Elephas maximus indicus: one gene and its partners. The protein of the gene in region 3 interacts with the protein of the main gene of each other region in a biochemical or structural test. Links are inferred from orthologs where the notes say so. Each region holds a gene or a part of one and is shown on either strand. Other genes may lie near its edges.

Region 1 (7,542 bases), on a different chromosome or scaffold from region 3:
ACCAGGCCTTGGACACTTCCTGCCACCCAGCAACGCCAGTACAGGGGACGAGTGGCCGTGACATGGCCCAGGACTGGGGGGGTCAGCAGAAGTCTCATGCCACCTGACAGGCCCTCCCAGCCCACCCAACACCCAGCCCCCAGGCTGCACTCAGCTGTGGCTGTCAGTCTCACGAGGCACGGCTGGCGCTGCCCCAGTGCCCCAGGGCTTGAGGAGCAGGGCGGACTGGGAGGGGTCCATGCTCCCAGAAAACTTACAGAGAAGGAGCACAGAGCCTCACGCCCAAGCCGACAGCCCCTGGGACTCAGCAGCCACGTGGCCTTGGTCTCCCTCCAGGCCCCTGGTCACTCCATCCAGGCCGCGCCATGCACGCACCCACCATCTGCTCACACTGCTCTTGACACCTGAAACCCCAGTGGCTGTGGGACCCGCGGCAGTTGCCCCCCACCCCTATAAAGGCACACACCACTGGAACTCACTAGATCCCCAAGTCCCAGGCCTCTCCCCACCCGGCTGTCCTAGGCCCCCTCGTGTTCCCTGCAGACCTGCACAGCTCCTGGCTCACCATAGTCCGCTGGGAACCCACACCCACCACATGGAGCAGGCACCTACGCTCAGCTTGCCCAGAGTGGGGTTCAGGAATGACAAGGGGTTACACTGCGGAGTGAACGGGTACAGGCTTCGGTTCTGGTGGGCAAGAGTGTGCCCTTTTCTGCATCTTCGTTTGGCCTGGATTCTGTGTCCCCTGGACGTGGTATTTCATAACAATGACACAACCCCCCAAGCCGATTTCGGCGAGACCTTGGCCAGACAGACCCCATTTCCTCCTTGACCTCCCCTGCTGCGTCCACGGCTGGTTCAGGGCCCAGGACCACACCTGGGCCAGCTCACCCAGGTAGGAGGGTGTGGTCAAGTCCTGCCTGGATCAAGGATCAGGGCCCAGCCTACTTCCTCCTTGCCCAGCCCAAGTCAAAAGCTTTATTCCCAAGAGGCAAGCCAAGCCAACTCAGCTGTGGCTGGTGGTCATCCATGACCCCTAGATCCTCCTCAACTGCCTGAGGGCCTGTGCTCCTGGGTGGGGCAGAAGTGGGGAGGTGCCTGTGGAGTCCTTTTGGTGCTCACCTCACCCAATAGGTTCATTCGTGCCCAACCAGCCACATCACCTGGAAACAAACCCCTGAGTCCTCAGGGGTCAGGGAAGAGAAGACCTCAGGGCTCCCAAGGCTTAACCTCAGCCTCACAGGGAGCAGGCGGGCCGGGGACTGTGCAGCTTCTTCAGCCGACCCAGCCCTGGGGGAATGGGGCTCGTCCTGACCAGGGGCCTGGCACCCAGCCCACCCACCCCCTCAGACCCGTGTGGACCAGCCTCAGGCCCCACAAAACAACCCTCCACAATTGCCGTCTTCCTCTTCCCAGCCCCCACCCACCCATCCCCACCTCTGCACAAACACAGGCCCTGTCTGCAGGTCACACCAAGCCCTGAGGGTCTGAGCCTGCACCTGGGCGTGGCCTAATGCCTCCTGGCCCCCAACCAGAGTGCTCCCAACATTCAGCAAGAGCCAAGAATGTGGCAGGCACAGAGCCCAGGCCCAGTGCAGAATCGTGACAAGCACGCATGTGCCTCTCTGAGGATGGGCAGAGACACATTCCCCACGGGATCCCAGCTGCCCACTCTCAGGCACGTATCCCAGCAACTCCACACTCAGGGGAGTCAGGTCGGTGGCTTGAAATTGGCCGTGACGGGACTTCCCACCACGGAAATCGGCCAACACCACAGAGAAGCCCCACCCCCAGGGCCAGCTGGTAAACGTGCACCAGCTTATATCAGCTGCCCCTCTCCAGGCCTTGGTTTCCCCACATTCGGCTGGACAGAGCTAGACCAGTGAGCTGAAAGCACCCTTCACTTACCCCAGGACCCGGAGTCCGCAGACCTGCTGCCCCACCCAAGCCCAAGGGGCTCCTGGTATCCAGCCCCCTGTGTCGGGTCCACTCGCCAGGGCAGCAGCATCCAAGATGGCAGCCCTGGGGAGAACTCCCAGGGCTCCTGCCTTTCCTCTCAGCCTGCAGGCCAGGCCTCTCTCCTGCCGCCTGGACCCTGCCACAGCACTGTTCTGGACTCCTCAGCACAGGCTCCTGGACCTGGGAGGCCCTACGGGCCCCCAGCAGCCCCCACTGCCCTCCCCCGGGCCTCGCCCTGGCTGGAGCCCTCCGGGCCCAGTCAGCAAACACACACAGCACCCCCAGCTTCCTTCCTCACACCCTCAGCCAGCAGCACGAGTAGGCCCAGCACGGGCGGGGGCAGGCAAATGAGGCCCAGCTCACAGTTCCCCTCCACACCTCAGCTTGGCCAGCTGCCCCATCCCTCTGGCCCTATCTCGGCAGGGGGGCTGGGAGCCTCAGCAGAGAGACCACAGGCCCGGGGCTACCTCAGGAGAGCCCCACTGACCACTACACGGATGTACCGTACGACGAAGGGCAAGCCCCAGACACGTTTTCGTCACCCCCACCCCAGAGCACAAAAAGGTGCCAGGCATAGCCGCAGCCCAACCACCACTGGGCACCTCTGTGTCCGGACCCAGAATAGGTGAGGAAGCTGCCTGCTTCTCAGTAGCTGGGCTGGTGAGGACACCCGGGTACCCCACTAATTCACGGTGTCACCCCTCGAAGCTGCTGACCAGGAAAAAATCCCTAAAGATGGGCAAGGCCAGGAGGCCCTGTCAGCCGGAAGAACCTCTGAATCCGCCAGGGATCTCCACTGGCTGCTTGCCCGCTCATCATCAGGTGCCTGCCCGGGCCAACCCCTCCGTTCTGCACATCAGCTGAGGTCGGCGTGTGGGAGTAGCCATCTGCCCCTGCCGGACGAAGTCCTAGCCTCAGAAAAAGCACGAACATGTCCTTCCCTTGGTTATTCTCGGCTCCCGCCAGGGACGCTTCCTCGAGGAAGGCTTCCCTGCCGCTGGCAGGCAGTCTACTCTCAGCGCATCCAGCCCTAGCTCTGTGGCAGGCGCCAGGTCTGCAGGGGCCTGGTGAGGGTAACAAGTGCCCGGGGGCAATCTCTTAAGTTGCCAATTCAAGATGAGCAGACGTTAATAGCGGAAACACCTTCCCCCCCTTGTCCAGCTGTCTCAGGCGGGCACCTTTCCTATTTGTGGCGCCTCAGAATATCATTCCACATCTCATCTGCCACCCCCTTAGACTTGTGTCAGTGGGCAAGTACCCCCCCCACCCTTCCCCTCAATACACCTCTGTGGGTCTGCGTCCCCCACCCAACTGTGGGCTCCAAGACTGGCCCCACCCCTGGTCTCACTTCAAGGCCTCTGAACCCTCTAAGCCCCGCCACAGCTGGCCCACCTCCTTGGGAGCCCCGGGCTACCTCTCTCCGTCCTCAAGAAAAGGAGCCCCCGAGTCCTCCAGGTGGCCCTCCTGAGATCAGGGCTCTGCTGTCTCTGATAAGGGGAACCTCCACTTTGCAGACCTCACACTAGGTGGAGGCTACTGGCCACATGGGAGACCCCTATGGCTCAAAGCTCCATGATCCTGATCTGGCAGCTCTGCAGCCCCAGAGGGCCCTCTTCTGGCCTCAGACCTTCCCAGCCTTGGAGTGAGGGTTTGGCCGAAGGTGCTCGGATCCTGGGGGAGCTGGCTGGCAGCCAGTTTCCTTTTCCCACGCTGCCCAGGAGCAGGAGTTTGGACAGAACAAGGCCGGGGCAGGGGTGGCAGATACTCCACAGTGGCAGGTCACTGGCCATCGGCCCTGGACAATCCCTCTCCTATCTGGTCCTCAGGCACTCCCCTTGCCAGAAAAGGAACCTGGGTGCCGAGCTTCTGACCACTCCATCTGCGTCCCACCCTCAGCCTCCTGGCTGAACTCTCCTGGCCATTCTAAACTGACCCCGGGACACAGGCTGCCTGGGCGAGCTCTGAGTGGTGTAGGGCCTGTACAAGGGGCTCCTACCCCCAGTCCACCCAGCCTGCCCACCCCACCTCACAGACAGGAACCTGAGACCCTCCTCCCGGCTTACCGAAGGGCAGGGAGAGACCTGATCTTGAGGACATGAAACCCTCAATCCAGCCCTCTGTTTCACAGGGGAGAGCAGGCAGCCCCCAGCTGCCGCCCTGTGCCCATGTACAGCCCCCAGGTTCCCAAGCCAGGCCCCAGGCAGGCCACACACAGGCCTCGGCACGCCGGCCTGGAGCCCGCCCCACCCACCCCCTCCCTGGGCTAAGCATGACTCATGGGGCCGGCACGACGCCCCCGTCCATACCGGCAGGCAGGCCGCCCTCTGAACACGCACCTGCCCAGGCTTGACAGCAGACAGCGCCAGCAATGCCAGACCGCTCAGGACGCTGGGCAGCAGGAGAGGGTACCTGGGAGCCCAGGCAATGCCCTTGGGGGTGGGGGGCACTGAGAAAGCAGCTGCACAGCCCCCACAGGGCTGGAGTCCTCGAAAGGCCCAAGAGACCACTTGAGTTCACACCAGGCCCTGCGCTGGAGCCCCCGCAGCCGAAAATGGCCCTGGAGCACAGACAAAGCCTGCTGCACCCTCTCTGGTCACCAAAGCAGAAGCCATTGGCCAGCCTGTGGGCTCTGCTGAACTGGAGGCTGGGACTCTCAATCCAGGCCCACTTCCCCTCCCCATGGGAGGCCTCCGGAAAGACAGAGCTTCACCCAGGAGGGAGGTCAGCCAGTGGGCCTCAGGCCTCTGCTCTGAACGGACACCCTGAGGACCTCAGGCCAGTGTCTGCCTGTCTCGGGCCTCAGTCTCCTCACCTGTAAAATGGGCAGGTGCTGTGAAGGAGACAGGCCAGGACACCATCCTCAGGAGCCCCCAGGGACAGGAGAGAACTGAGGAGGGGCTTACCTCGTGCATGTGCTCCTAAAGGGAGCCGCCAGCTGGGGGTGGGAGGGCTAGGCGGATCGTGGGCCTCAGGGCGGGAACTAGAGCCCAGAAGCCATATCGCTGGGAGGAGCGGGGGATAGCTGTGTGTCTTCACTGACTGGAAGACGGCGGCAGAGGCTCTCAGAGCTCATCACCACCCTCCCTGGCCAGGAGTAAAGGCAGGGGCTCCTGGTGCCCCCACCCCAAGATAGGGCTGGGCCTCTCTTTCCGCACAGGACGGAGGACAAGCCGACTGGACGAAATGAAACAAAGTTACAGCCAGGACCGCCCAGCCCACCCAGCGCCACTCCAGGGTCCTCTGCAGCCATAGGCGGGACTGAGCTGCCATGGGGCAGGACCACCACTGGCCGGGCTGGGGCCACTCTGAGGATGAAGAGTCGCCGCCCCTCCCTCAGCAAACCCCAAGACCAGGCTGCCTGCCAGAGCCACCGGAGCTCCCCACCCCCTGGCGTGTGACCCAGAGCCACTGACCAGGCCTGTGGTGGCCACAGCCCCCACTGGGCCCCTGCCCCTCAGCACCAGGTGCTCTGACTAGGCAGCATCCACCCAGAGGGCAGCTCCGTGGGCCACCCAGAGCCTGGCTCTGCGCAAACAAACCAGTAAGCACCCACATTCCCCTCCAGGCCAAGGGTCCCCCACAGGGGCAGGCAACCTCAATCCCCAGCCCCATATTCCAGAGACTTAAACTGCCGGGTCCCTGCGCAAAACCACAGCACAGCAGCGCCTACGGGGCCCCACACTGCCTATGCCGTCGAGAACACGCCCCCTCCCTGTGACAACAGTGAGCACAGACCCCTTCCCGAAGCAGCCGGGGTGGCCTCGGGCCTCAACGTGCTCTTGACCGCCTCCCAGCCTTGCCCACAGCTCTGTGGCTGCCAGCTTCCTGCCGGGCTCCCGCCTAATCCCCAAACACAGTTCGGGGTGAAACCTGCTCACCACACGCAGTGGCGTGGCTCCCGAGACCAGCAGGCGGCCGCAGGCTCCCGGCAGGAGAAATGAAAATCTCTACAAGAATTGGGGTGCTCCTCACTCCCTCCAAAATCTACCACACGAAGCTGCGGTCCCGACCCCAACTCCATCCTGAATCAGCCCGGGGCTGAGCAAGTCATCCAAAGCCTGAGGCCTTGCCCATCACTGCGCAAATGGGAAGACAGCTGACCCCACCCACCACCCCAGGGAGGAGGGCGCCAGGAAAGTGCTGAGCTCAGAGGGAGTGTCAACTGGATGCCCCCTGGGAAAACCAATGCCCTGGGCACCGCCCCCCCCCCACATCGATGGGCTAGTCTGATCAGGGCTGCAACCAAGCCAGTGTGTGCTGTGCCCACCAAGACCCGCCCAGAGTGACCACCTTGGCCACCCTAAGGGCCCAAGGCCCACACAGGTGGGTGGACTGATACACAGACACACTCCTACAGGGATGTTCAGGGAACCGAGCCCTGATTCATGCACTGCTGCAGGTAGACCTCACACAAGGCCACCCCACACGTACCCTCTGGGACTGCCCAGGGCCTGTGCGCCTGCCCAGCTCAGGGCTCAAGACCAGCAGCAGGGGCCTGCCTGGGATGCAGCAGGGTGCACAAACGCCAGAGAGGCCACCTCCTCTAATGCACCTGTCCTGTCTCCCTCGGCCACACGGTCCGCACCAGGCTGCTGAGCAGCCCGGCCCCTCGTTCCTCTCAGCTTCGAAGAGCCACCTCCAAGCCCCTGCCTCAAGGGAGGGAAGAAGGCAGATGCCCTGAGCCCCAGCCCCACCAGCAAATGGCAACCAGGCTGGGGGGGGTTCTCTGATATCCACGGCACGCCAGGCCCTGTGCTGGGCGCTTCACAATAGACCCCCTCAGTTCTCTCAACAACTCCATGTTGTAGGCATCACCCTCTTGTACAGAAAGGGAACAGGGGGCTCACAGACATGAAGCCAGTCAGCAGTGGCTGCTTGACTACAGACTGCACTCCAGGAGAGGAGGAGGAAGGAAGAGAGGAGGGAGGCAGCTGTCAGGGATGAGCAGAGCCTGTGTCTGGCCCCTTTGGCCACAGCGGGCAGCAGGGGGGCTGGTGTCACAACACTAGTGGGGACACAGGTAATGGACAACGGGAGCAGCACAGATGAACGAGACAGACGCTGGCACACGTGGAGGTAAAGGCACAAGGCCAACCCCACACACACCCTGTGGGGGGCCCAGAATCCCCCAGCCCCTCAGAATGCCCTCCTAGTGGTCCAGTGCTGCCCGGAGAGCAGAAGCGTGGCAGAGCCAGTGTCCCCAGCATCCAGCACCCGCAGCCTCTCCTCTAGCTGCCCAGCCCCGGGGAAAGGCCTCCTTCTTCCCCCCAAAAAACAGGCAGGGAATGTGGGGGCAATCCCCCCTCCTCACAGGACAGCCCAACCTTGACAGAAACGGAAACTCTGTATTCCATTTTTGCTTAGAAACGATAAACACCAAGACACACCACCCCCTGCAGACAGAGCAAAAGGCCGGGGCTCTGGGCTGAGGTGGCTTCCACTCTCCCTGCTGTTAGCTGAAGGGCGCTGGGTTCATTCTGGGGAGAAGGTAATTGTTTTACAGAATTGCAGCATTTCCCCAACCAGCCACTTAACACAAGCTCTCACCAAGTGCTCTCCAAGCCCAGGGCAAATGTTCGTGTC
Region 2 (7,365 bases), on a different chromosome or scaffold from region 3:
AGTAGTGGCTCCTGCCTACCCCCCAAGCACAGGCCCACCGGCTGCACAGCTGAAAAGGAATGTGGGGAGCAAGGCTGGGTCACCCCTTGAGGGCCAAGAGTGTGCACCGTGAGATAAGCTACCCCAGGCAAGGGGCTCCAGCTGTGGCTGCACACTCCAGGAGCATGGTGGGGCAGCCCAGTCCCAAGGCTGCAGCCCAGCCCTGCAGACACCCAGCTCCTGCATCTCCTCCTGAGGGTCTTCACTAGGAGACGCTCATATACTTGAGTTTCCCAGGTCCCTCAGCCCAGCCCTGGAACTTTGAGAGCACCCAGAGTCTGAGTGTCCTGTTCACAGAGGCACAAGGTGGGTCCTGGGGACCCAGCCAACCTCACAGAGCCTCTGATCTCGCTTCTCCAGCTCTGGCTGCAGCCCTGGTTCAGGTGAGGGGCTATGGGGCCACTGAGCTGACTGTGGAGACCAGGAGCTCCAGTAGGCTGTGGGTGCAGAGGGGATGCTGTGGCACAGCGACCAGGCACAGGACTGTGAGTTGTCCCTGTGTGGCTTTGCACACTCATGTGCATGAGGGTGCGTCTATGTGCATGTGTCCACATGCTTCCTCGCATGTGGGGACGTGCAAAAACGTAGTATCCACACATTACCAGGTCCTCCCCAGGTCCCCATGTCCGAGGGACTAGACCTTCTTTAGTCCCTTAGAGAAGTGGCCCCCAGAGGCATCTGGTCTCTCCCACCCCCACCAGGTGGTGCAGCCCGAGGTCCAAGGGGCAGAGGGGGAAGAGCGTGCAGGTCTACTGCAGGCCCCTGGCTCCCCTCCCCACACTGCAGCTGAGGCTCCCGCGGCCACGGCCTTGACCCAGCACTATGGACTTCTCTGACATTGGCATCGGATCTGAACATCTGGCAGCAGGCTGATAAGGGGTGCAGCGGAAACAGCCTCTGCTGCTGCCAGTAGGCCCACCCCCTCCGCTGCCCTGCTAGGGTCTTCACACTCCCTCTGCCTCCAGCTCGTGGGCCCCAGCCCCTCTCTCTTTCCTCATTTTCTGCCTCAGTCTCTCATTCTCTTTCTTTGTTGCTTGCTTGCTCTGACCATCTCTGGGTCTGTTTTGCTGTCAGTGCATGTCTGTCCCTTTTCCTTCTCTTTCTTATTTTCTGCCTCGGTCTCTCTATGGCTTTTCTCTTTTTCTGTTTCTCCCCTTTCTATATCATATCCCAGCCCCGACTGGGGGATTCTGCCTCTCTCCTCTCCTTTTCAGTTTCTGGGTATCTGGTTTGTTTGTTCCTTGTTCCACCTCCAGGAAATAGGCCTGGCACTTTGGGAAAGTCCCCACTTAGGAAAGAGACCCTGGGCTTTGTTTGCCTGGGGAGGGAGGGAAACAGGAGCCTAGATCCCTTCTTCTCCTCTTCCAGGTGGGTCTCATGGCCTGGGACCACCTGGGCTGGAGTTTGAAGAAGAGGACAAATAGACAGGCCACCCAGGGGAAGAGTGGGGAAGACTGAGCCTTGAAGCCAGGCTCCAGACTCCTGTTGACTGGACTTGAACCCTGGCCCCACTACATCCTCGCTTTGGGACTTTGGGAAGTCTCATCTCTCAAATGCTGCTCACGGGGGTGGGAGGAGGGAAGGAGGAAAATACTACCTACTGCCCTAGAGTGGTGGAGAGGGTTCAAGACTGATTGCAGGTGAGAATGGTTAGTAGAGGACCAGGCACACAGGAGGCACTTTGGTTTTAGAGCCTTGTCATTCTCAGCTTTGTGGCAACTCTGACTCCTCCTGTGCCCATGGAGCACCCAGTATGGCTGTGGGCAGGGCAGCAGCATAGAGTAGGGCGGTAAGCAAATGCAGGCTTCATTAGAAATTTGGGGTGGAGGGTGAGGAGTGCCCAGCCTGAGTGGTCACTTCCTTCCTACAGAGAAGGGGACAGGACAATGGAGGGGCAAGTGGCAGACCTCTATACCCACAGGCAGCATCTGGAGCCCTCAGTGCAGGGCATGCAGTCATTCAACAAATACTTGCTCTGTGGTTGCTGCTGTGGACCCAGAGACAAATCAGCCCAAGCCTTCTCTTGAGGGTTCCCCAGGCTGGGGTGAGTCACTCTATCATCTCAGTTCATGATAATGTTGCACTCTCAGACTCAACACAGAAAGGGCCCCTAAGGACAGATCTGTCAGGCCTTCAGCTTGTTGTTTGTGTTTTGTTAACCTTTGCTGAGCACACACTATGTGCCAAGCAGTCACTGAGTATGTTACATGTCTTGTCTCATTTCATCCCTATTTTTCAGAGCATATGAGGTCCAGAGAGGTGAAGTGACTGATAGAAGGTCACACAGCTAGAAAGTGGAAGGAAGGAGATTCAATTGAGAGCCTCCATCGCTAGTCCTTCAGCAAGTCTCTTTCTCAGGGCGAGGACTCACCAAGAGACTGTGACCAAGCCAGCCTGGTCCCTTCCATGGCGTCATGGCGTTAAGAGACCCTGTCTGCCCTGTGTAAGAAGGCAGGGAAAGTGGACACTATTTTACAAAATCTCCCATGAAAAGAGTGCAAAGAAGTATGATTTGTTGTTGCTGTTACATGTATGTGACATGTTGGTGGTACAGGGTTTTTGCTGGGATGTTTCTTCCTTAAATCTGGAAGATGAGTGGTATTAATCCAGAAACAAAATCAATACATTAAAATGGAGAGACTCGTTAGGTTCAGTCATATGCAAGACTTGTAAGAACTTCTGTAGGTGAAGAAGATAATTACGAGTTTGTGCGTGTAGGGAAATAAGTTGTATGCTATATTGTAAGTAGAGTTAAGATATATTTAATCAGTTGTTATTAGGTGCTCTCGAGTCAGTTCTGACTCACTGCGACTGTATGCACAACGGGACAAAACACTGCCCAGTCCTGCGCCATTCTCACAATTGTTGCAGCCACTGTGTCAATCCATATCGCTGAGGGTCTTCCTCTTTTTTGCTGTCCTTCTCTAGGGCCTGATCCCTCCTGACAGCATGTCCAAAGTATGTGAGACACAGTCTTGAATCAGTTAATTATGACTGCCAGCAAAATAATTGTCTTGTATGTATTTCACAATAAAACATTTTTTTAAAAATGGCACTGCGGAAAAAAAAAAAAGACAAGCTAGATTTTAAATATAGTTGGCTTTAGTTATCTAGAAAAATCCCTCTCACCCCAAGCCAGGTTAGTACGATGTTCTTTGTGATTTGCCCATTTCCTCAAATGAAGGTGGTTGTTTGTGTATGGGGCGGTTCTCAACATAAATTGCCCCATGGCCAACCTGTGTTCCTTCTCATTTCCCAGGCCTAATGGGTGGAAGGTACATCCTCTGAGGACAGAGACTTCTTCCCTTTTCTTCACTGCAGGCTCCCCAGTGCCACTGGATGGGTGTGCCTGGAATAGTGCCTAGTGTACACTCAGCAAACATCAGATGGATGAAGGGATATACAGATGAGCATGTCATGCATGGGAGGGTACAGGGCAGAGTAATCTGGGCCCCATGGGACCAGGTCAGTTTGGGACCTGTGTGGGTCTGCAGATTAGATGGGGTCATCCCAGGCTTCTGCAAGAGACCGAGATTTCTAGATAAAACCCCTTTCCCTTTGCCCTGCCTATCCTGGCCTAGCTGCCCACTTGGCCCAAACTAGGGCCCACATAGCCAACCACCTGGCCCAGAAGGCAGTCTGAGCCCAGCCTCAGTTTTCACAGCTATCGACTAGGAGCAGCAGCCCAGGATAAATGAAGACATTCAGAGAAGCCAACAGTGAATGCACACGGGAGGTGTTCAGTCAGCTCACCTGCTTGCCTTCGGTTCCCCTCTTCTTTTCTTCACCTTTTGGAAGAGTAAAAGGACCAGGCCAAAGTAGAAGAGTCCCCTGGTCAAGTCGTTCATGCCCCTGTCTCCTTGCCAGCCTGGCCTGAGTCTACTCCCATAACTGGGCCAGGCCGGACCAAGCTGGGCCAGGCCCCAGGGAGGTAGCCATTCAAGGGGAGAGAGGCCAGGCTGCAGGCTGGGTGGGGGAGCAGCCCATAAATCAAACCCCACTCCTACCCAGTCACTAACAAGCGGGCTGCCTACCCGCCTACGTGGGGTCCCTGCCTCTGGGCTCCCACAGCGGCTTGCAATAGCCAGCCGGCCAAGGCCTACAGAGTGCCTTGGCCTCCGCCCCCACCCGCGGCCCCCAGATAGATAGGGGTATTTTTTTTTTTCTTTTAGGAGATGAAAAAAATAGACCTAAATGAAGAGAAACACCAACAAAGAAGGAGAGAGGCCTGCAGAGTCACGTGGGGGCAGAGACCAATTGGGCCTCCGGTGGCCCCCCCCCCAGGGCGGGGAGGAGGAGGAGGACGAACGGACAGGGCCAGTCTGCTATCCGCCCGCTGTCCGCCGTGGCGAGAAGGAGTTCCTGTGTGCCCACGACTGCCACTGCTCCACCTGGGCCGCTGGAGCCTCCTTCTGGACCCCCGGTGTCCACTGTCCACTCTCATCTGGTATAATTGCTCGCCTTCCGCTCCGTAAGTGAGGGCCTGGGCCCAGGCCTCTAATGGCCAGCCTCTCTCCTCAGTGCCTCCCTGCGGCCTGGGCTGGCCACTGCCTGCTTTGCTGAGTGACTGGTGCCTGCTGCCCTGGGCAAAGAAGGGGCCACGGGTCTCCTCAGACCTGCCCTCCCACCATGTTAGCCCTCTTCTTCCCTGAGCGGCTGATGGGAGGAGCTAGGCCTGTGGGGACAGGCCTTATGGGGGTCTGCGGGTGTTCCACTGTCTATCCATGGCCGAGTGTCCACAGGGATGTATCGGTCTGAGTCTAGTACTTTGTGAGTACGTCCATGGATCTCTGGGCCCCGGTCTTCGGGCTCTGGATCTCCCTGCCTATGTGTCTGTGTGACTCTGTGATGTCTCTGAGCTGTGTGTTCCATGGCTCAGTCTATAGTGTCCATCTGTCAGTCCCAGTCTGTGGCTAGGCCAGGTGTATGTGGGAAGGAGAGGGTCCTCTCTCTGCTTCCCTGAGCATGTGGGTAGAGGGCTGCAGTCACCCACATGTTGCTCTGACACTTGGAGCTGTGGCAGGAGGGCGGTGCACAATGGAGCCTTGAAGGCTAACCCTAGGGCCCCAACCTGGAGGAAAAGGGAGTGAGGCAGAGGGAGAAGGGAAGAACTAGCCCAGCTCCCCCTCCACCCAAACTGGCCCCCCAGCCCAGACTTGTTCTCACACTGCTTGGGTCTTCTTCCTGGGTCAAGATACCCCAGGTGGGCTCTAACCTAGGGAAGCCTACCAGTGCCCTCCCAGCCCAGCTCTCTCCCCCAGTAGCCCCCCTGCCTTCCCCTACAGAGGTAGTACCTCTCCTGTTTTCCATTTTCTGAGGGCCCCTCCCCTCATGGGGGCCTGTTCAGTGGCAGTAGTAGTCCACCCCCACCCTCTTGTAAATGATGTTTTTTCTTAGGGGTTTGGAGTGTGGGTGGGAGCCTGCAACTAACTCCCTCCGACTCTCTCTCGCTCCCCACCAAGATTTACGCTCATTGACTCATGGAAACCGCAGAGCCCCGTCTGTTGCGCCCATCTTTTCCATTTTATAGACGGAGAAACTGAGGCTCAGAGAGGTGACATGACCTGCCTGAGTTTGCACAGCAAGTCAGCAGCAGATTCTGGCCCTCATTTCGCGGGGTGAGCGGGATAAGGGCTGATCTGCGCAGGTTCGCTAGGCCTTGGCTCCCAGGACTAAGGAGCCAGCTCTGGCAGAAGTCGGAGGCGTCGCGGGTTCAGGTGGGGCAGGCCGTGGCCAAGGGTCCGAGCCTACCGGCCTCGGCGTTTAGGTTGGATGCGTCGCTGCGGCAGCATAATTGCAGCATTTCTCAGCATATAGAAAGCAGCTTCTTGGCCTCACCACCACCAACCCTCACTTTCCGACTCCAGGTGCTCGGTGAAGCCGGAGTAGGATGTCAGCGGACCCCTTCCTATCTAGAGTCTCAACCTCTTCACTGAAAAATGAGAGTGGTCCGGTGGTTGTTCCCAACTGCTTCGCCGGGTTGGCCCAGAGACCCTTTTGTCCCCAAGGCTGCAGGGCGCTCCCTTCCCCCGCCCCTAGCCCGGCTGGGAGCGCAGAGCCGGAGGAAGTGGGGACGGGGTTTCTTCCGCGCCAGGCTCTGTCTTCCCAATGCGCCCGCTCCCCGTGTGGCTTCCGGCCCTCAAGAGACCCTGGAAGACTTGCAGAGTGGGATCACCACTATTCCCAATGAGCGAGCTGAGGCGCATGGAGGAGAAAGGGCTTGCCCCAGCTCTCCCAGCTGAACGCGTTGTTGGGCGCTTCCTCCATGCCCCGAGTGTGCTTTGCTAACACCACTCGGGTTCATCAGCACGACCACCCTTACGGAAGAACAGTCAACATTCCCATTTCACAGATGAGGAAATTGAGGACCAGAAAGGAGGGAGGTTTTTGCTTAAGGCTCGAATGAAATAATGGGGCTGGGCCAGGGCGAGACTCTGGTTTCCAGCCTTGAACCCCTGCCTTAGCCACCGTTTCCCCCACGCTCGTCCTCGCCCACATCCATGCTGCACAACGACCAGAGAGCCCCGAGCGTGACCCTCGCCACAACTAAGCTGAACATGCAAACAGGGGCCCGCTTCCTCCCACCGCAGGCGGGTGGCCCAAGGCTCCCCGGCGCGAGGCACCTGCCCGGATCCCCTGTCGCCTGGATTCTGCCACCTCCTGGCCGCGCGTGGGCTCGGGGATGGGCTGGGACTGGGAAGCTGAGGATGAGGATGAGGGCGCCGGCCGGGCCGGGGCGGGCCTCCACCCCCGGATAACGCACACCGAGATATAGAGTGGCGGGTCCCCGGCCCCGTGCGGAGGCTTCGCGCAGCAAGCATAGGCTGCGGAGGGGCCCGGGTCCCAGGTGCGCCTTGGTTCGGCCCTGGTGGCGCGGGGGTGGGGGTGGCGAGGAGGCGGGGGGTGGGGAGCGCCGCGGCCCCGCGCCCCGGCTTCCCCGCCCCCGGCCCGAGCGGCCGTCATCGCGGGCGGGCGGCGCTGCGCCCGGGTGCGGCTCATCGCCAGCGGCGGCGCGGCCGGGAGGTGCGGGGCTCCACGCGGGCGGGACGCGGGGCGCTGCTGCTCCCAGGAGCCGCCAGGTGGGCGCTGCGCGGGCCGCGGCAGCCGTCGGCCCCGTCTCGCGTCCCCGCCCGGGTTCTGCACCCTTCCCTCGTCCGGACTTCGACTCTCCGCCCGAGGTTGCTCCTCTGCCTCGGGCTCGGCCTTCCGGAGCCCGCGGGGTCTCCGCCCGAGGTCTCCGTGGCTCCCCGCTCGGCGCCCGCGGTCTCCGCTCCGCCCTCCTCACCATCTCTCCGCCCGACGTCTCGGTCTCCGGGGCGCGGGCTG
Region 3 (7,922 bases):
CCATAGGCATTAAACTCAGCTTCCAATTACCTCAAATACACTATTGGGAACTCATCTCAGTAAAATCAACAACAAGCAGTCCTCTCATTTTTTTAATACATATTTTACTCACACTCCTGAGACCCTTTTTTTTTTTTTTTGGAAAGAGGTCTTTCCCCAGCAGAGTGTACAACACAGATCTAGTAATCCTGCAGCCTGCAGGTTAGCAGCTGCTCCATAGATCAACCCTCCTTCTTTTGTCTCTAAGAGCTAAGAAGAGGCAGAGAAAAGTTACTGTTAGTGCTAAAGCCACTGCTCCGTGAACCAGTGAAACCCCTACCTATGTCACCAAACCACTGTTACCAAACCGCCAGACAAAAGCAGAGTAACTTGCTTGGAAGTTGAAAAACATTTCAATACACTCCAGGGAGCAACCCACACTTAGGTGCCTGACAGATGAAAAGCGCCCACTTGTTTTTAAAAGTCCACTTATTTTGCTCTCTTCAACAAAGGTGGCAAACTGATGATTAAACATTGAATAATCTCATCTGGAAGATGCCGCCCACTTGCTAAACCTATGATTCACTAATAAGCGGCTTCAACGCAACTCATAACTTTAAAGAATGAATTACCAGAGCCCCTGACTTCACAAATTCCCTAAGAAATGAAAAGAGTACTCATCGTATATAACCGACAACCATTTTTACTTTAGACACCTATACACGGTCGTGCTTCCTGTAAAGAAAATATTTCCCCACAACCTCACATTTAATCGCTTGCATTACAGGCGATAGGCTCCAACTGAGTTCTACCAACTGAGTTACAAGTCAATTTTTCTCCCAAAATAAAATGTCCCGTTAAAAAAACATTTTAAAACAAAAGTGCTTCTCATTCTCCTATTTTCCTCTATTTACGAACCAATTAAATTACTAACGTGGTAAAAACTAGAAACTCCTGTAATGCTTCAGCGATCAACATGTGTCAGACTTCCAGCCTGTTCTCTAAGACACAGTTGATTCCTTTGTTCCTACTGACTGGAGATGAACTCCTGATTAAAATTTTAAAAACTACTTTGGAACGGATAGGCGGGTATGTAAAACGATTTGCATGGAAAGCCTTCATAAATCAACGATATTCAAAAATAATAGGGAGGACACATACCTAAGGAGAGAAAAGGAGGCTCCTCAAAGCTCCGAGGACCTTTCCGGGCTCACCCTAAATGAAAGCCAGTTTCCTGGCTCCGAGGTAAAATGATGGCTGAGGCCTCGGGTCCCAGGGGCCTCGCCCTCGGGAGCGGTACCGGCGGGGCGGGCCTGGGGGCCCACAGAGCTGTCCCCTGTCCTATTCACTTTTCGTGGCTCGGAATCGGGCGAGCACAGCCCAAGGAGGCACCGGGGCGAGAAGCGGGGAGCAGCGCCCGGCGCCGCCCAGGACGCCGCGGGGCAGCAGGACCGAGCGCGGCGCGGCGAGAAGCGCCCGGGACTCCGGGCCGAGGGGGACAGCCGAACCGATCGCGACACCAGCCCGGCCACCCGCCCCCCGGGCCCGTCCCGCCGCCAGGGACCCTCAACCGCCCCCTGCCCTGGCCCTGAGCCGGCACGGGCGGGCTAGCGAACCCAGCTACAACTCCACAACTTGCCAGCCTCGCCCCCCGGGCCCCCGGGTTCCCGGGGCGATTCGAACCCGGGAGGGGCGGAGAAGCAGAGGCGGGATTTCCCCGGAAACGATTCCTCCCCGCCGCCGAGCCCACACCGCTGCCTGCGTTCGCTCCGCCACCAGCACCGAGGCCCCCGACGCCCCCGCGGCCCTGCCCGCCAACGCCGCGGGCCGCGCTCCGGGGCCGTTTCCGGCGACGCGAGCGGCCGCTCCTCGCAGCCCCCCGGCCGCGGCCGCCACTCACCCGAAGCCGCTGCGGCTCGGAGCCTGCGGCTCCGTCAGGCTCAGTCCGCGAGGGCGCCCTGCCGCCTCGTCCTCCGTCTGCGCCCCGGCGAGCTCTTCCCCGCGAGCACAGCGGCCCACGCGAGGCCACGGCGGGCACGCGCGGGCGGGCGGGCGCGAGGGCGCGGGGCCGGGTTGTCCCTCCGCCTCGACCGCCGCCTCCGCCGCCGCCGCCGCCGCCGCCTCCCGAGTTCGGGGCTCTGCTGCAATGTCTGCGAGGCTGACTTTGAGCGCCTCGCTCGCCGCCCGCCCGCCCGCCCGCCCGCCCGCAGCCGCGCTCCTCCCTCTGCCGCCGAGTCCTCCGCGGCCCAGTCCCTCCCCTCGCCGCTCCACGCCATTCAGCTCTTCAGCCAAGTTTCTTAACCCTTTTTTCCCCCGTCTCTCCGGGGCGCTCGGGTCCAGGAGGCTGCAGGAGCTGGGGAGACCCCTCTATTTTGTTGTTTTCCTCCTCGCCCGCCACCCAGAGGGCCGGGCCGGGGCTGCAGGACCGGGGGGAGCGGGAGGACCGCGTCGGCAAGGAGAAGTGGGTGCTCGGCGCGTCCCAGCCGTCCCCCTCGGCTCCTGGATCTGTCCAGCCGCCCCCGACCGCCTCAGGCACCTGGACAGCTCCTCCCCGGGGCCTGGGGGCATAGTTCCTGTTACGTTAGGACAAAGGGCTCGCGTTCGGGGCGCAGCCTGGGCGACCGGGCACCCTAAATGCTTCCAGGGTCCCTGCCTGGCTGTTGGCGCCGTATGAGTCTCCCTCCTCCCATTTCACCCCACTACACGCGTTCCCGCGGCACCTTTCACCCACCCTCCAACTTCCACATCCTTTTAATCTGTGCGTCCTGCTTTAATCTTGAGGGGCGAGGGCACTAACACTAGGTTACTTGGGCCCCTTGGCCAGCTCGCAGTAGGCACCCAACGATAAATGTGGAGTGCCTCCGAGAGGAAAACTGGGAAGGAGACCTGAGGAGCGCCCCTTTCAGCTCCCTGGACGGACGTAGGACCCAGGAACAGGGTTTATCTTCAGTTGCTTTGTCACTGCGAAGTCTCCAGCGGAGTCTGTCAGCGAATCCACATCATCCCCGGAAAGCCTTTGACCCGACAAGACAAGGCGAAAAGAACAGGGCTGCCACTTCAGCAGCTCTCTTCGGTTCTGTCTCCGAATAAGAAATAACAATTACATCACGAGGCCGGGGCGGCAGCTCTGTGTACCTCGGTTTCCTGCAGCCTAATCTCGCTGAACACGCCTCTCAGTGTGTGTGTGTGTGTGTGTGTGTGTGTGTGTGTGTGTGTGTGTGTGTGTGTGTGTGTGTGTGTGTGTGTGTGTGTGTGTGTGTGTGTGTGTGTGTGTGTGTGTGTGTGTGTGTGTGTGTGTGTGTGTGTGTGTGTGTGTGTGTGTGTGTGTGTGTGTGTGGTGGGGGGGAGGGTTATAGATTGGTGAAGCGAGAAAGTGTAGGGAGGAGAGAGTCATACGAAACCATAATTTCCCCCTTCTCTTTACGTTTGCTGTTCGCACATCTTATCTTCAAAGCTCCCCAAACCTCTAACTAGAACTATTAACACTCCCTCAACACATCACCTATGTCAGGTTTCTCTTTGGCTCTAGCTTTAGTAACTCCCCCTGAAACAATTATCAAGGGAAATGGATGCCACTGCTGAAATTGTGTTTGCTTGGCACAAAAACGCTGAAGTACAGCTTAGCCTCACCCTAAACACCGAAATGGCACACTCGTGTTAAAACACTTCTTACACAAATGAGTCAGGCACTCCACTCGTGTAGATTTTCATATCCTTACCAATTTGGTAGCATTTGAAAATAGAGTTGCTAGTGCACTTTAAAAAAAAAAAAAAAAAACTATCCAAGTTATAAAACCGTGTTCCATGTCTGTTATGTAATGGTTGTATTGTGCATTTAAAATTTCACTTAACCTTTAAAAATATGAATGAGAGTTTCGGAATGCCTACACAGTCTTGAAAGCGAAAGCCATTTTTGAAAATAATTCTTCATAAATCTAGCACCTAGCACAGCACCTGGCACATGGCAGGAATATTTTGCTTAATAGTGATGGTGCATTTTAAAACTGTTTTACATCAGCCTGGTGATTCAACTATGCAATCTGTTGCCTTCTTATACGGTTTAAACTTCATGTAATAGTTTATTTGCATATACCACGGTTCGAAATCTGCTCCAGGTGAATTCCTTAGTAAAGTCTGCTGTTCTGTAATACGTCATTTATCCAGGACTGATACAAAATAAACTGCCCCAGTGAGTGATGATCAGCATAATTAGAGTTTGTCCCTTTAAGGGGCCAAACTTTTTGGTAAAATATGCTTTAACTTTTATGGGAAAGATTTTCCAAAATGTATTATAAATGTTTCTGTTTTCTCAAGCACTTCATTGAACGTCATTTAACATTTTCTTGAAAATCCGAGGTCAATTTTATTAAAATGAATTATTGTAGTAGATTGTAGTGGATTCCACAAACGCATCGATTTCCTATTCTATATCAGGTATCTTCCCAGGTGCTAAGGATGCTCCCAGAGGCTAAAGAGCTATCAACCTGTTGCCATCTAGTTGATTCTGATTCCTAGCAACCCTATAGGACACAGTAGAACTGCCCCATAGGGTTTCAGAGGAGTGGCTGGTGGATTCGGACTGCAAACCTTTTAGTTAGCAGCCTTAGCTCTTAACTACTGCATAAAAAAAAAAAAATTCTATCCAGTCGATTCTGACTCATAGCGACCCTATAGGACAGAGTAGAACTGCCTCATAGAGTTCCCAAGGAACGCCTGGTGAATTCGAACTGCCAACCTTTTGGATAGCAGCCGTTGTAAATAACCACTACGCCACCAGGGTTTCCTAACCATTGCATTCAAGACATCAATGGCTGAATAAAGGACTTTGGAATGCTACCACTTAGATACTAACTCGGCCTTTTGTAGTTTCTCCCCCTTCACTAACTGACAATCTGTTGTCAGTTGTCTCTCTGTTGCCAGCATTCCTGCCTCTAACATTCCCCTCCTCTTCTGATTGGCAGCTTCTAGCCTGGGCAGACTGGGAATTCAGATAGCCTCGCTTGTCACAATCCTGTCTAAAGTAAAACTAAATAGGTTCCATGTCAGAGACTTACGTACTCACCAATGAGTAAGGCACATTTACCTTAGTGCGTAGACTCTAGGACAGATATTTGGACAGCTCGAATGTTGCTTTTGAAACATTCTTTTTGCTTCTCGTTGAGGCTGTTAGATAAACAACCTCTTAAAACCTGAGGTTACATAATTAACCCAACAAGCTAAGTCTTGGTCCTGCCCTTCAACACTACTTTTAAAAAGTCCACTGCCATATGTTAGATGACTGAACAAAGGGGGAGCAGAACTGCTAGTTCCTTGTAATGAATCTGCCTTCTCAACACCAACAGAAAGCCAATCATTGAAGTCTCAAACCCTATTTGACAGTGCACTCATGTTAAGTAAATTGCACACCTTTTGTGGAATTCATTTTTACTTAATCCTGCTTAATTGTGTTGGGATGATTTTGTTGTTCTTTTTTTTTTTTTAATCAATACCCAAATTCCAGGCTAAGAGTCATCACAGGGATCCTGGGGCTTGTATGTAATAGAAGCATGCCTATTTAGTAATTTGTATTTTGAAGCCAACTCTCATTTTAATAAATTGTGATGTGAAAAAAATTTTTTAACCATTTACACACTTGGGTTTTTTTGTTGTTTTGTTTTTTAAGCCCAGGGTTCCTGTGGGATCAGATACTTATAGTTCAGGCTCAATATGCTTACCTACCACAAAAAAATAATCTGGTGAGGTATGTCTCAGATGTGCCACCTGAACCTCTCCTGTGATAGCACTTTTCACACCATTTAGTGATGGGGTGTTTGCTTGTCTGTACTTAGCACTTAGCACGCAAACACTATAGGCAGGGAACCCATATCCCTAACACTCACATCTGGATATCTCCACCACCTAGCCCTGTGCTCTGCAAACAGAAGGCATTCAGTAAACACTGGGGCAGATACTGTCATAGCCTAGAGGACAGAATGTTTATTTCTATTTGGGTGTGGAGCAAGGGAGATCAGAGAAAATTTTACAGAGAAAGTCATGCTTCAACTGGCTATTAAATGGTGAGAAGAAATTGCCAGGTAGACAAAGTGGGAAAGGAGTTCTCAGGAGAAGATACAGACTGTTTTACAATAGAGAAGTAGGAAGAAAACAAAAACATGCTTTGAGAATTATTGAACTTACACACTATGGAATGAACTATTACACTTTGGGGGGATATATATATGTATATGTCCATGGCAGTGGGTTTTTATATGTATATATATTATACATAATAATAATGGATATATTATATACAGATGGAACTTCAGTGTAGCTATACCCTTAGTTACAGCCCCATAACCTCTAGCGTGGCACAATTAAAAAAAAAAAAGCCACAAATATGAGCTACACATGTCATTTTAGATTTTCTGGTAGCCACATTTAGAAATGTAAAAAGAAACAGGTGAAGATAATTTTAACAATGTACTTTAACCCAATGTGTCCAAAATATTATCATTTCAATGTGTAATCAACATAATGCTATTAATTAGATATTTAAAATTATTTTATTTGTACTAAAAAAACAAAATAAAACCCGTTGACGCCGAGTCAATTTCTACTCAGAACAACCCTATAGGACAGAGTAGAACTGCCCCATAGGGTTTCCAAGGAAGGTCTGGTGGATTCGAACTGCCAACCCTTTGGTTAGTAACCATAGTTCTTAACTGCTACAGCACCAGGGTTTCTTTATTTGTACTATGTCTTCAAAATCCACCATGCATTTCACACATGCAGTGTATCTCGATTTGGACTAGCCACTTTCCAGTGCTCAGTAGCCACATGTGGCCAGTGACCAGTGTATTAGACAGTGTATCTCTAAAGAACTTGTGAAACTTTTAACTAGGTAAAGCCAAAAGGAATTTTCTCTTCTTATTAAAGCTTAGATTTAATTTGTGCCGATTACCAGTGTTTAACTAAACTGCATTATAAAGACTATTTTCTTGAGTCTAGGCTTTTATACCAATTAGAGAATCAACAAAGTTTACACTTTATGTACTGTGTCTTCATTAATCGTATTATAGTTACAACTACCCCATCTCTATCATCTACGGTGGTGGACTGTAAATGTAAACTGGCTCTACGGCAGAAATGAAATGCTAAAAATTTTGGGTTGAGTAAGCTTAAAAAAAAGTCCTCCCTATTTTTTTTTAGAGCACAGACTTACCTCTATGCTAGTTACTGTGAAGCATCCCCCTAGCTGTAGAAGGCCAGGTTTTGCTCTTCAACTACTCCATGCTCAGTTACTTGTGGACTACAAAATTTGCCCAGCCTTTGTTTGAGGCAGCCACCTACCTAAAGCTGCGGCAATAAGGATGTGCTACAGCTACCTGAGCGTTGAAGGAGGCCTAACAAGCTCAAATGGAGATGTTCAGACACCCTTTCTGCAGGTTACTATGCAGCTTTCCTTTAATGAAATTGGAGCTTTTTATTTTGGGTGGGACTGAAGTACTAGGATACTAAATTTCTACACTAAAGGGAGTCATGAGGACTAGGGTTAGATCTTTAAAAAAAAGAAAATCTGAAAATAATTGAGTCCAGGCAGCTGGAAGTGTACAAGGAAATGACAAATAATAAAATGCAAATGTATGGTGATGCCTTTTTAGTCCCCAAACAAGAAAATGTCTGGGATACCTACGGAGTCCAAAAAGCCGTGATGCCATGGTCATTAGGCACCCAGATTGCTCCTATTCTGCTCTCATTGGCTCTTGGTTTTCACCTGAAAGGTCATCTTATGATCTTAGTTAGCTACAGAGCTCCAGTTATCAAGTCTACCTTCCATACAGGAAGAATGTCAGGTGGTCTATCTATCACCCTTTCAAGGAGCTTTCTGGGAAGGACCGACCATTAATTCCTGCTTACATCTCAATGCCCACCTTCTCCAGAGAGAGTGTGGGAAAGTCAGCACA
Region 4 (7,733 bases), on a different chromosome or scaffold from region 3:
CACAGCTGTTGGGCATCTTTGAGGTGGGTCTCAGCTGCCAGGGGTGTGGAGAAAGGCCATTGTGAGCCTTGCCATGGACCCAGCTCAGCCAGGTCGTGCCAACTCCCACTACTGCCCATGGGGGTCATTATTTTCTAGCTTGGGTCAGTGTAGGTGAGGCTCCCTACTGGCTTGTTTGGGACCTAGCTAGCTGCAGGCTACAAACCAAGGGCTTCCACAGAGCTGGTGTCCCCTGGCTGAGCCCCCCAGCTGAGGGGTCAGCATGGGCAGCAGCTGACCTCCCTCCTTCCCATTCCCAGCCCCCCCAAACTGGCCAGCCACAGCTGTAGCATTAAGGAAGCGCAGGATGTCCTGAGCAGCCAGCTGAGCCCCCCACCCCCCACCCCAACCTCTACTTGACCCCAGAGGCAGGGCAGGCGGGGCGCAGGGGCGGAGTTTGAGTATTAACAACTGGAAAAGTATGAAGAACATCACCGCCAGTTCCCAGCTCTGAGAGAGGAGGCTGTGGCAGAAACAGAGACAAGGATGGGGTAGTGACAGGGTGAGAGAGTGTTCCAGACTGGCAGAGAAAGACAGAGAGAGAGGGAGAATCAGGCGCAGCAAGACTGAGCAACAGAAAGAGAGAGAGAGTTACAAATTCCAAGTCAAAAATACACATCACTCACCCAGACACTCAACAGCATACGGCCTCCTAAGGAAAGCTTCCAAGTTTGGACAGAAGGGCCGAGGTGGGAAAAGGGGCCCAACTCATGGTGGGAGGCAGGAACTCAGCTGGGGGCTAGGGTGCGTCCCCAGGAAAGGCCCAGGCATATAATCCACAGCAGGGGCAGCTAGATCCCCCAGTTTGCTTTTAGGGTGGGGATGAGGACCACTCCCTAGGAGCCAGCTCTCCCCAAGACACCCCCTCCCCCAGCACTCAGGACAATCCCAGCTGCTAGAAGTCACTGGGCACTGCTTCAGACCCAAGACTGGGCCCTCTGGAACCTCCCTGCCCCTACTCTCTTTGCTCTTGTTTCTCAGTCCCTCCAAAAAAAAAAAAGAGTCCATTCCCTTAAAACTCAGTGGCTGATCCTAGAGGAAGAAGGAAAGAAGACATAGAAGGAAGTTTCAGGAGAAAAAAGCCTGTGATTTTGTGGGTATCCAGGTGTGTGTCTGACTGCATGGGCTGCAGTGTGTGCATCTGGGGTTGTCTGGACACGACTGTCAGGGTGGACCTGAGACTGTGTGGGCCTGGGCTTGTGAATTGGGTCTGCACCTGAGCCGGTGGGACTGTGCAAATGAGTGCACCTGTGTCTGCAGTTCCCACAGTCAATTAACACATATTTACAGGACTTCTTGTGCTAGGCTCTGGGTGGTAACCAGAGCTGTTGAAGTGATTCCCCCAGGTCTCAAGGAGCTAGGAGGGTGGTAGGAGACAATCAATAGAGACTGAAGACGTGTTATCCTGAATGCCTGCCTCCTTGTACCATGATGCAAGAAAGTCTTTTCACAAAGGTGAATTTAATTTTCTTAGGAGCAGGAGTTTTGCTGTATACAGAACCCCAGAGCCACACAGTAAGAATCCAGGAAAATACTTGTTGCTAAGTTGTGTACATGTGTTGATGTGTAACTGCATTTCTGTGACAGCGGCTGTCACGGCGGGAGATGATGTCTGTGTGACTGGGGTTATGTGAGCACATGTGTGCCTGTGAGTGACGGGGTCTTTTGTAATTGTGCAGCTGTGTGCAACGCTCTGTGTGCATGCATGCTTGTGACAGTGACTCCTCCTTGCCCCTGAGTGTGACAGTATCTCTGTGTTACCCTGTGCGTGGGTATGTTCATGGGTCGCTCTCCCTGCTCTTGGTCTCCCGTGGGTGTGTCCTACCCCTCTGAGCTCCACAGTGCAGCGGCAGCCTGCCCCTTCTCTTGTCCCCGTGTGGGTGTGTCCAGCAGCTCCTGTCCTTGAATCTGCCTGGGTGTCCCTGGGTGTGCATGTGGCTGTCTGTGTGGGCATATTTCTGTGTCTGCATGTCACATTCGCTGCCCCCCTCATCTAGGACAACAGCCCCCTTCATCCCCTCCCCCTCCAGCCAGCATTGGCTTTTCTTCTGTGCCCCCACCCCACCCCTGAAGCAGGTGGCTCTCTCCATTGTCCCTATCATCTGCCCCCCCCCCCCCCCGCGCAGGCCTCTTCTTCCACATGGACAAGGGAGGCTCCAGACAGAGAAGGGGCATCAGAGACCCATTGCAAGGAGCAGAAAGCAAGGAGGGAGAATACACACAAGTCCTTTGCTCCCTCTCTTCCCCAGCCATCCCAACCTGCCACGCTTCTAATCTCCTAGGGACCCTCGACCACAAACCCCCCACACACACTTTCCCCCCCGAGTCGCGTTTTTGCAATTAGGAGTGTTGCAACCAGAGAACCATGCTCAATTGGAGAGGCGGGTGGAGTGGGAGGGGGAACTTCCCTCTCCCCGCGCCCGTGCAAGGCCACCCCCCGCCCCCCCACCGCACTCCCACTGCCCTCCGCAGCCGGAGGCAGCTTTGCAATGGCCACTCGGCCTCGGAGGCTAGGGGTGGGGGCTGGGGGGGGCAGGCCTCCGGCGCACCGTAAACAAACAGCGGCGCGGCGGGCGGGGGAGCTCCGGCCGGCCAGCAGCCCGGCCCGACCCGGGAATGCGCAGCAGACTGGCCGGACAGAGGCCGGGCGGGCCCTAGAGGGGGAGGCCCGGACGCCATCTCCACCGGCGAACCCCGGGGCCCACCGACCTCCCAGCAACACCTCCATTCCCCAGGGCGTAAGTTGCAAGCGCCCGGGCTATGACAGGGTAACTGGGGCGCCGGGAAAGGCGGTGGCTGGCAACCGGATCCCCTGGGCGCCCCCAGACCGCCTAGGAGCTAGCCTTAGAGCCCCGCAGCTTTGCATAATCAATCGCGATACATTTGCATATTAATGCCCCCTCGCTCCCTCCCCCTTACCTCGGCGTGGCGCGCTGGACCGGGCTGGGCAGCGACCAGGAGGTCTCAGCGCCCCGAGCCGGGGGCGTCCATGGGGGGCCAGTGGGGCCCGGCCGCCCGCCTCCTGCGCCCGGGTGTGAGTGCGAGTGAGCGCGGGGGGGGGGCGGGGGGCGAGTGTGGCGGCCCCGCGGCTCCTCCAGCAGAGGCGGCGGCCGCTCTGGCTCCTCCCTCCCCCGCCCCGCTCCGGCTGGGGCTCGGGCTCGGCGCGCCCGGCCGGCTCGCGGCTGCTCCCTGCAGGCCGCCGCGCCGCCGCGGGCCCCCGCCTCCCGCCCCCCGCCGCGCCCCGGGACCCCCGCCAGCGCCCGGCCGCCCCTCGGCCGCCTCGGCCCCCGCCCTCTCAGATGCGCCCTCCCTGCTCAGGCGGCTCCTGCAGGAGTGGTACTTGCTGACAGATTTTGGAAAAGATGTCTTTTAAAAAATAGCCTTTGCTTGGGCAGTTCGGGGTTTTCGGTTTGCACCATGGGGGCGGGGGGGGGCCTGGGAGAGAGTGCCAACGGGCCTCCTGCACCTCCTAAATAGGGGGGAAAAGCCTAAATACCAAACGCCTGGAGGTTTCGAGTTCATTTCAGAGTTCGGGTCCCTTCTCTGCCAGTACCTCACTGTGTGACCTTGAGCAAATCACCACCGCTCTCAGGGCTCAGCTTTTTCAACCTCAAATGAGAGGGTTGGGCAGGTGACCCCTGAGGTTCTTTTAACTTCAGTCATCCTTTTAGGGGTTATCAGCTCATTCCCCATTACCTCCCTCCCCTCTCATTTCTAACGTTACTGATCAGCAGCCTCCCCTTTGAAATGTCACCCTTTTCTAAAATACGCTCTTTATATCTCACTGTCACCAGCCTTTTCCCCAACAATCTGACCCCGCTGAGCTCGGGGAGGGGCCAAACTTGCCATACCCCCTCAACTCCCAGTTTGACAGGGATGGCATTTTCTCCCATGTTTGCCCCCACTAAAACCCAAAGGTACCAGGGCCATTCTAAGGAGGAGGGTGGGCTGTATAAAAACGGACCCCCTTTCCCAAAAGGGAGGTCTCCATTGTGCTAACCCCACCCCCCATGCACACACACATACACACCTGCATTCATGGACATAAAACCATCCCAGTGACGCCAGAGCCCCTTTCATCTCAGGATCTCCCAGCACCAGGCAGAGCTCTAATTACCCTAGCACCCACTCCCCACCCCACCCCCCCGCCCCACCAGTTCCCCTGCTGTCATTAGCCCAGTTTTACCAGCGGGGGCCACAGCCTTCCCACATCTCCTAGGGTGGGGCTCCATCTTCACAGCCTGCTCTTGTGGAGGTGTGTGTGTGTGTGTGTCAGGAGGAGCCTTTGTGTTCATAGCCCAGTTTGTACTGGGCAGAATCACTTTCTGAGTGTGGGATTCTAACTGGCTCTGGTGGGGTTCTGTTGCTCAGCAAGTCAGGCTGCCCTTAATCATCTTAGTCTCAGCCACCTGCATCCTCAGCTCTGTCAGAGCCACTTCTCTTACAAGGGGGACTGGGGTTCACAATTCATGGGGGAGAGGAAGGTGCCTTTCTCAGGGCCCCTGGGGCCATGGCAACGAGAAAGGCGGCTGGGGTGGCAGCCATGGGGTGCAGAGTGGATGGCAGTGATGAGGGCTGTGCAATGCATGACAGGAGCCTGCAGTGTGCATGCAGTGGCAGCTGTGGTATGCAGAGACAACACAGAGTGAGTGAACATACAGGTTCAGTCTGGGCTCACAGTGGACACGTGACAGCTGCAGTGTGGGGCTGGAGGCTGCAGCGTGCAGTGTGCAGTGCGAGGTGCACTGAGGGTGGCTGTCTGCGAGTCACTGCCACCTCAGTGATCAGCTTTGGCTGAAATCCTGGAGAATAAGTCTGCAATGAGCAGCACTCAGGGTGTGTGTCCCACCCACTATGGAAATCGCCCCATAAGACTGGGCTGCCTGAGGATTTGGCCCATGAGATACACTGGTAGTCTGCAGTGAGCCTGGCAGAACCAGGAGGGGATAGACAGGCCCAGAGTAATCTAGATTGGGGCAGGGGTGATGAGGCCCAGAGGGAGAATGAGGCACCTTGAACTCAAAGAGAAGAGTTTCCCCTTTCCATCTTCTTATCTCTCTCCCTCTCTTGGTTCCCAATATGAGCTGGTGACGGACCTGGGCAAGGGCAAAGTGAAGGGCATACTGGCTCCAAAGCAGCAGACATCTTGCCAGGTGCCAGGATCTAGCCCAGGCCTGGCCTTACAGCCCTTGCCCCTGTTTTGGGCCATCCCTCTTCCCACCCCACTTACCCTATCCACCCCTGTTTCTTGAAGCTTCCAGCTCTTCTTGGATTCAGTTCATCCCTGGCTTCCATTCCTCCTGGCTACAAAACCCCCACCTGGGCTGTGTTGGCACTGTCCCCTTCCATCCCCCCACCTCTGCTTCATATCAAGCCCTGAGTCTGTAGGGAGAGAGGGAGGGTGGGTCACAAGTGAGGATGGATAAGGACCCTCCAAGGGGATTTGTCTGGCAGCCTGCTCTCTCTTAGATTTCCGTTGCCAAGGAGGCAGCAGGAACAGCCTGTTCTCTGGCTCCCATCGGAAAAGCCATGCTCAGTCCCTCCCTCTCTCTTTCTCCTTCCTTCCCTCCCCCCTTTCTCCCAGACTGTTGCTAGGAAGCACCCTAAGATTTCTGGAGGGTTCCGTTCCTAGGGACCAGAGACTCCAGATATCTTTCTGAACAGCTTCCTCCAAAAACCTAGCAGCCATGATCTTACACAGCATCCTCTACCCCTGTCAAGAAGCCTCGCACACCCCCAAGCAGTTTTTTTGGGAGCAAGCCTTTGCCAGCCTGCCTTGGAACCAGCTCTGTGGTCCCAGCCTTGGTGATTCTTGTCCCTCATATCAACCTCTTAGGCTCTGGGTGATATCAGCAAGTGATAAGGTATACAGTGGAGATACCCCTTGGCTCTGTAGACACAGCCCCACTTATTGGGGTACACTGGAAAGACAGCAGAAGAAACTGAAACACTACCGTAGAACCTAAACCCCAGGTGTCTCTTCCCCTTAGAGATCTCCCAGTCAAGAAGAGACAGGGAAAATGGAGGAAAGAAAAGCTGGGGGGGAGGCAGGGAGGAGGAGCAGACTGTGGGAAGTTAACGAGTAATTACTCTGAAAAGAGTAAGCCAAAAACCAAACCTCCCCCCCCATTCCCATCTAGTCAATTCCAACTCATCGTGACCCCATAGGACAGAGTAGAACTGCCCCACAGGACCTGAGGAGCAGCTGATGGATTTGAACTGCTGACCTTTTGGTTACAGCGAAGCTCTTAGAAAAGAGGAAAGTGGCCACTCAATTCACCTCTATCAATCTCCTTTGTCCCGTCAGGTGACTGGTTATGGGTGGCAAAAGAGGGGGCTAGGGAAGGGACTCAGGCCTGGCTGAGCCTTGCTTTTGGTAACTGAGGTAAAAAGTGGAAAAAGAAGCTGACACCTTCCCCAGACTGTATTTTATTTGACACACATTATTTTCACCATTTAATGTGTCAGGTATTGGATCCCTCAGATTTTCCCAGCTTCTGGTTTCACTTTCCCTTACAGCATCCTCATCACTGCCTTTACCAAAAAAGAAAGGAGCTGAGGGGCAGACTGCTTTACCATCCAAGCCTGGGGCTGACCATCCTGCGTCCTTCCCACAGCAGGTGAATGGGAGGGTCTGTGTCGAGGCAGGCAGAGTATACAGTATGTAAGGCAGAGTGGCTCTCAGGCCCTAGTGTAAAGGAAATAGCAGGCAGGCCTCCTTTCCCTGCCACTGTCCAGGGCTCAGGATCACAGTACTTTTCTTCCACTCTAGCACTTCTCTTCTGTTCCTAAAGGCATCCTCCAGGGTGTCAGAAAGGAAGCTATTCCAAAGGTTGGTTCAAATTCTGCTTTTCATTGTTCAGCCAGTCTCTTTCTGGACCTCTTGTGGGGGCAATGAGAAGACAGAGACTGGGAACAGTGGGGGACCCATGAGCTGTCCCTGAGGTGTGGTCACCTGTAGGCCTCTCCCCCATCATCTCCTCTCCCAGACAGAAAGCAGGGATTTTGATTTGGGAACTGGAGGGGGAAGGGAACTGGTTTGGAGCCAGCTGTGTATGAGTGTGTGGGATGGACATTCTTTCTTTCCCCATCCACCTGCTGCCAGTTAAGTCCCCATAGTGGAGGGACCCAGGCAAGCTTCCAAAGAAAGATCTCCCAGTTAGGAGAGGGTAATGACTCAGTTTCCCTATGGAAATGAAAGAAGTTGAAACCCTCTGTGTCTTGTATGCTTGCCAAGTATTTCAGTCTTTCTGGGCTTTTAGATTTGGACTCTTGCCACTTTTCCTTATACACCTTCTTAGCCTAGGTAAGAAGTGTACCCTTCCCTTTGGGTACCCAAAACTCTGTTCCTCACAACCTCTTTACCCACCCCAATCACCCACTCTGGCCTAGTTCCTTTTTTAGCCACTGCTTCAAATGTTGCCATGTCACTGCCTGACTGGCTTCCATCTGCCTGTCTTCTCCAGCCAGACCCCTTCCCCAGCCAATCTAGCCAAAGGATGAAGAGATTGGGGCTCAGAGCTAGGAAAGCAGACAGGGGAGCTCAGCCCCTATCTGTGCTGAATCAGAAGAAATAGATAGAAAAGCAAGTGGAGTAAATAGGTGGGATTTTTGGGCAGGACTGAGGGGAGAATTTCCTTGTATACCCTAAGGGGATATCAGCATCTCTTCTCTCACCCTCTGGATGATTATCA

The links.
Region 1: the proteins of NRIP1 (region 3) and RXRA form a complex in vitro, tested with the Homo sapiens proteins (2 studies listed by BioGRID). The link is inferred for Elephas maximus indicus from reciprocal best matches to the Homo sapiens genes NRIP1 and RXRA.
Region 2: the proteins of NRIP1 (region 3) and NR5A1 form a complex in vitro, tested with the Homo sapiens proteins (2 studies listed by BioGRID). The link is inferred for Elephas maximus indicus from reciprocal best matches to the Homo sapiens genes NRIP1 and NR5A1.
Region 4: the proteins of NRIP1 (region 3) and THRA form a complex in vitro, tested with the Homo sapiens proteins (4 studies listed by BioGRID). The link is inferred for Elephas maximus indicus from reciprocal best matches to the Homo sapiens genes NRIP1 and THRA.

What each region holds. Positions count from the first base shown.
Region 1 is NC_064827.1:4,206,686-4,214,227, forward strand, and holds the start of RXRA (retinoic acid receptor RXR-alpha), read right to left. Parts: upstream 3,136-7,542; 5' UTR 2,009-3,135; coding exon 1,909-2,008; intron 1-1,908. UniProt on the Homo sapiens protein: Receptor for retinoic acid that acts as a transcription factor.
Region 2 is NC_064827.1:75,534,963-75,542,327, reverse strand, and holds the start of NR5A1 (steroidogenic factor 1), read left to right. Parts: upstream 1-4,304; 5' UTR 4,305-4,510; intron 4,511-7,365. UniProt on the Homo sapiens protein: Transcriptional activator. Essential for sexual differentiation and formation of the primary steroidogenic tissues. Binds to the Ad4 site found in the promoter region of steroidogenic P450 genes such as CYP11A, CYP11B and CYP21B.
Region 3 is NC_064836.1:46,669,162-46,677,083, reverse strand, and holds the start of NRIP1 (nuclear receptor-interacting protein 1), read right to left. Parts: upstream 3,103-7,922; 5' UTR 2,866-3,102; intron 1,959-2,865; exon of another isoform or gene 1,880-1,958; intron 1-1,879. UniProt on the Homo sapiens protein: Modulates transcriptional activation by steroid receptors such as NR3C1, NR3C2 and ESR1. Also modulates transcriptional repression by nuclear hormone receptors.
Region 4 is NC_064837.1:47,293,389-47,301,121, reverse strand, and holds the start of THRA (thyroid hormone receptor alpha), read right to left. Parts: upstream 3,180-7,733; 5' UTR 2,959-3,179; intron 2,778-2,958; exon of another isoform or gene 2,612-2,777; intron 1-2,611. Other genes in the region: MED24 (mediator of RNA polymerase II transcription subunit 24), read left to right, coding at 6,559-6,659.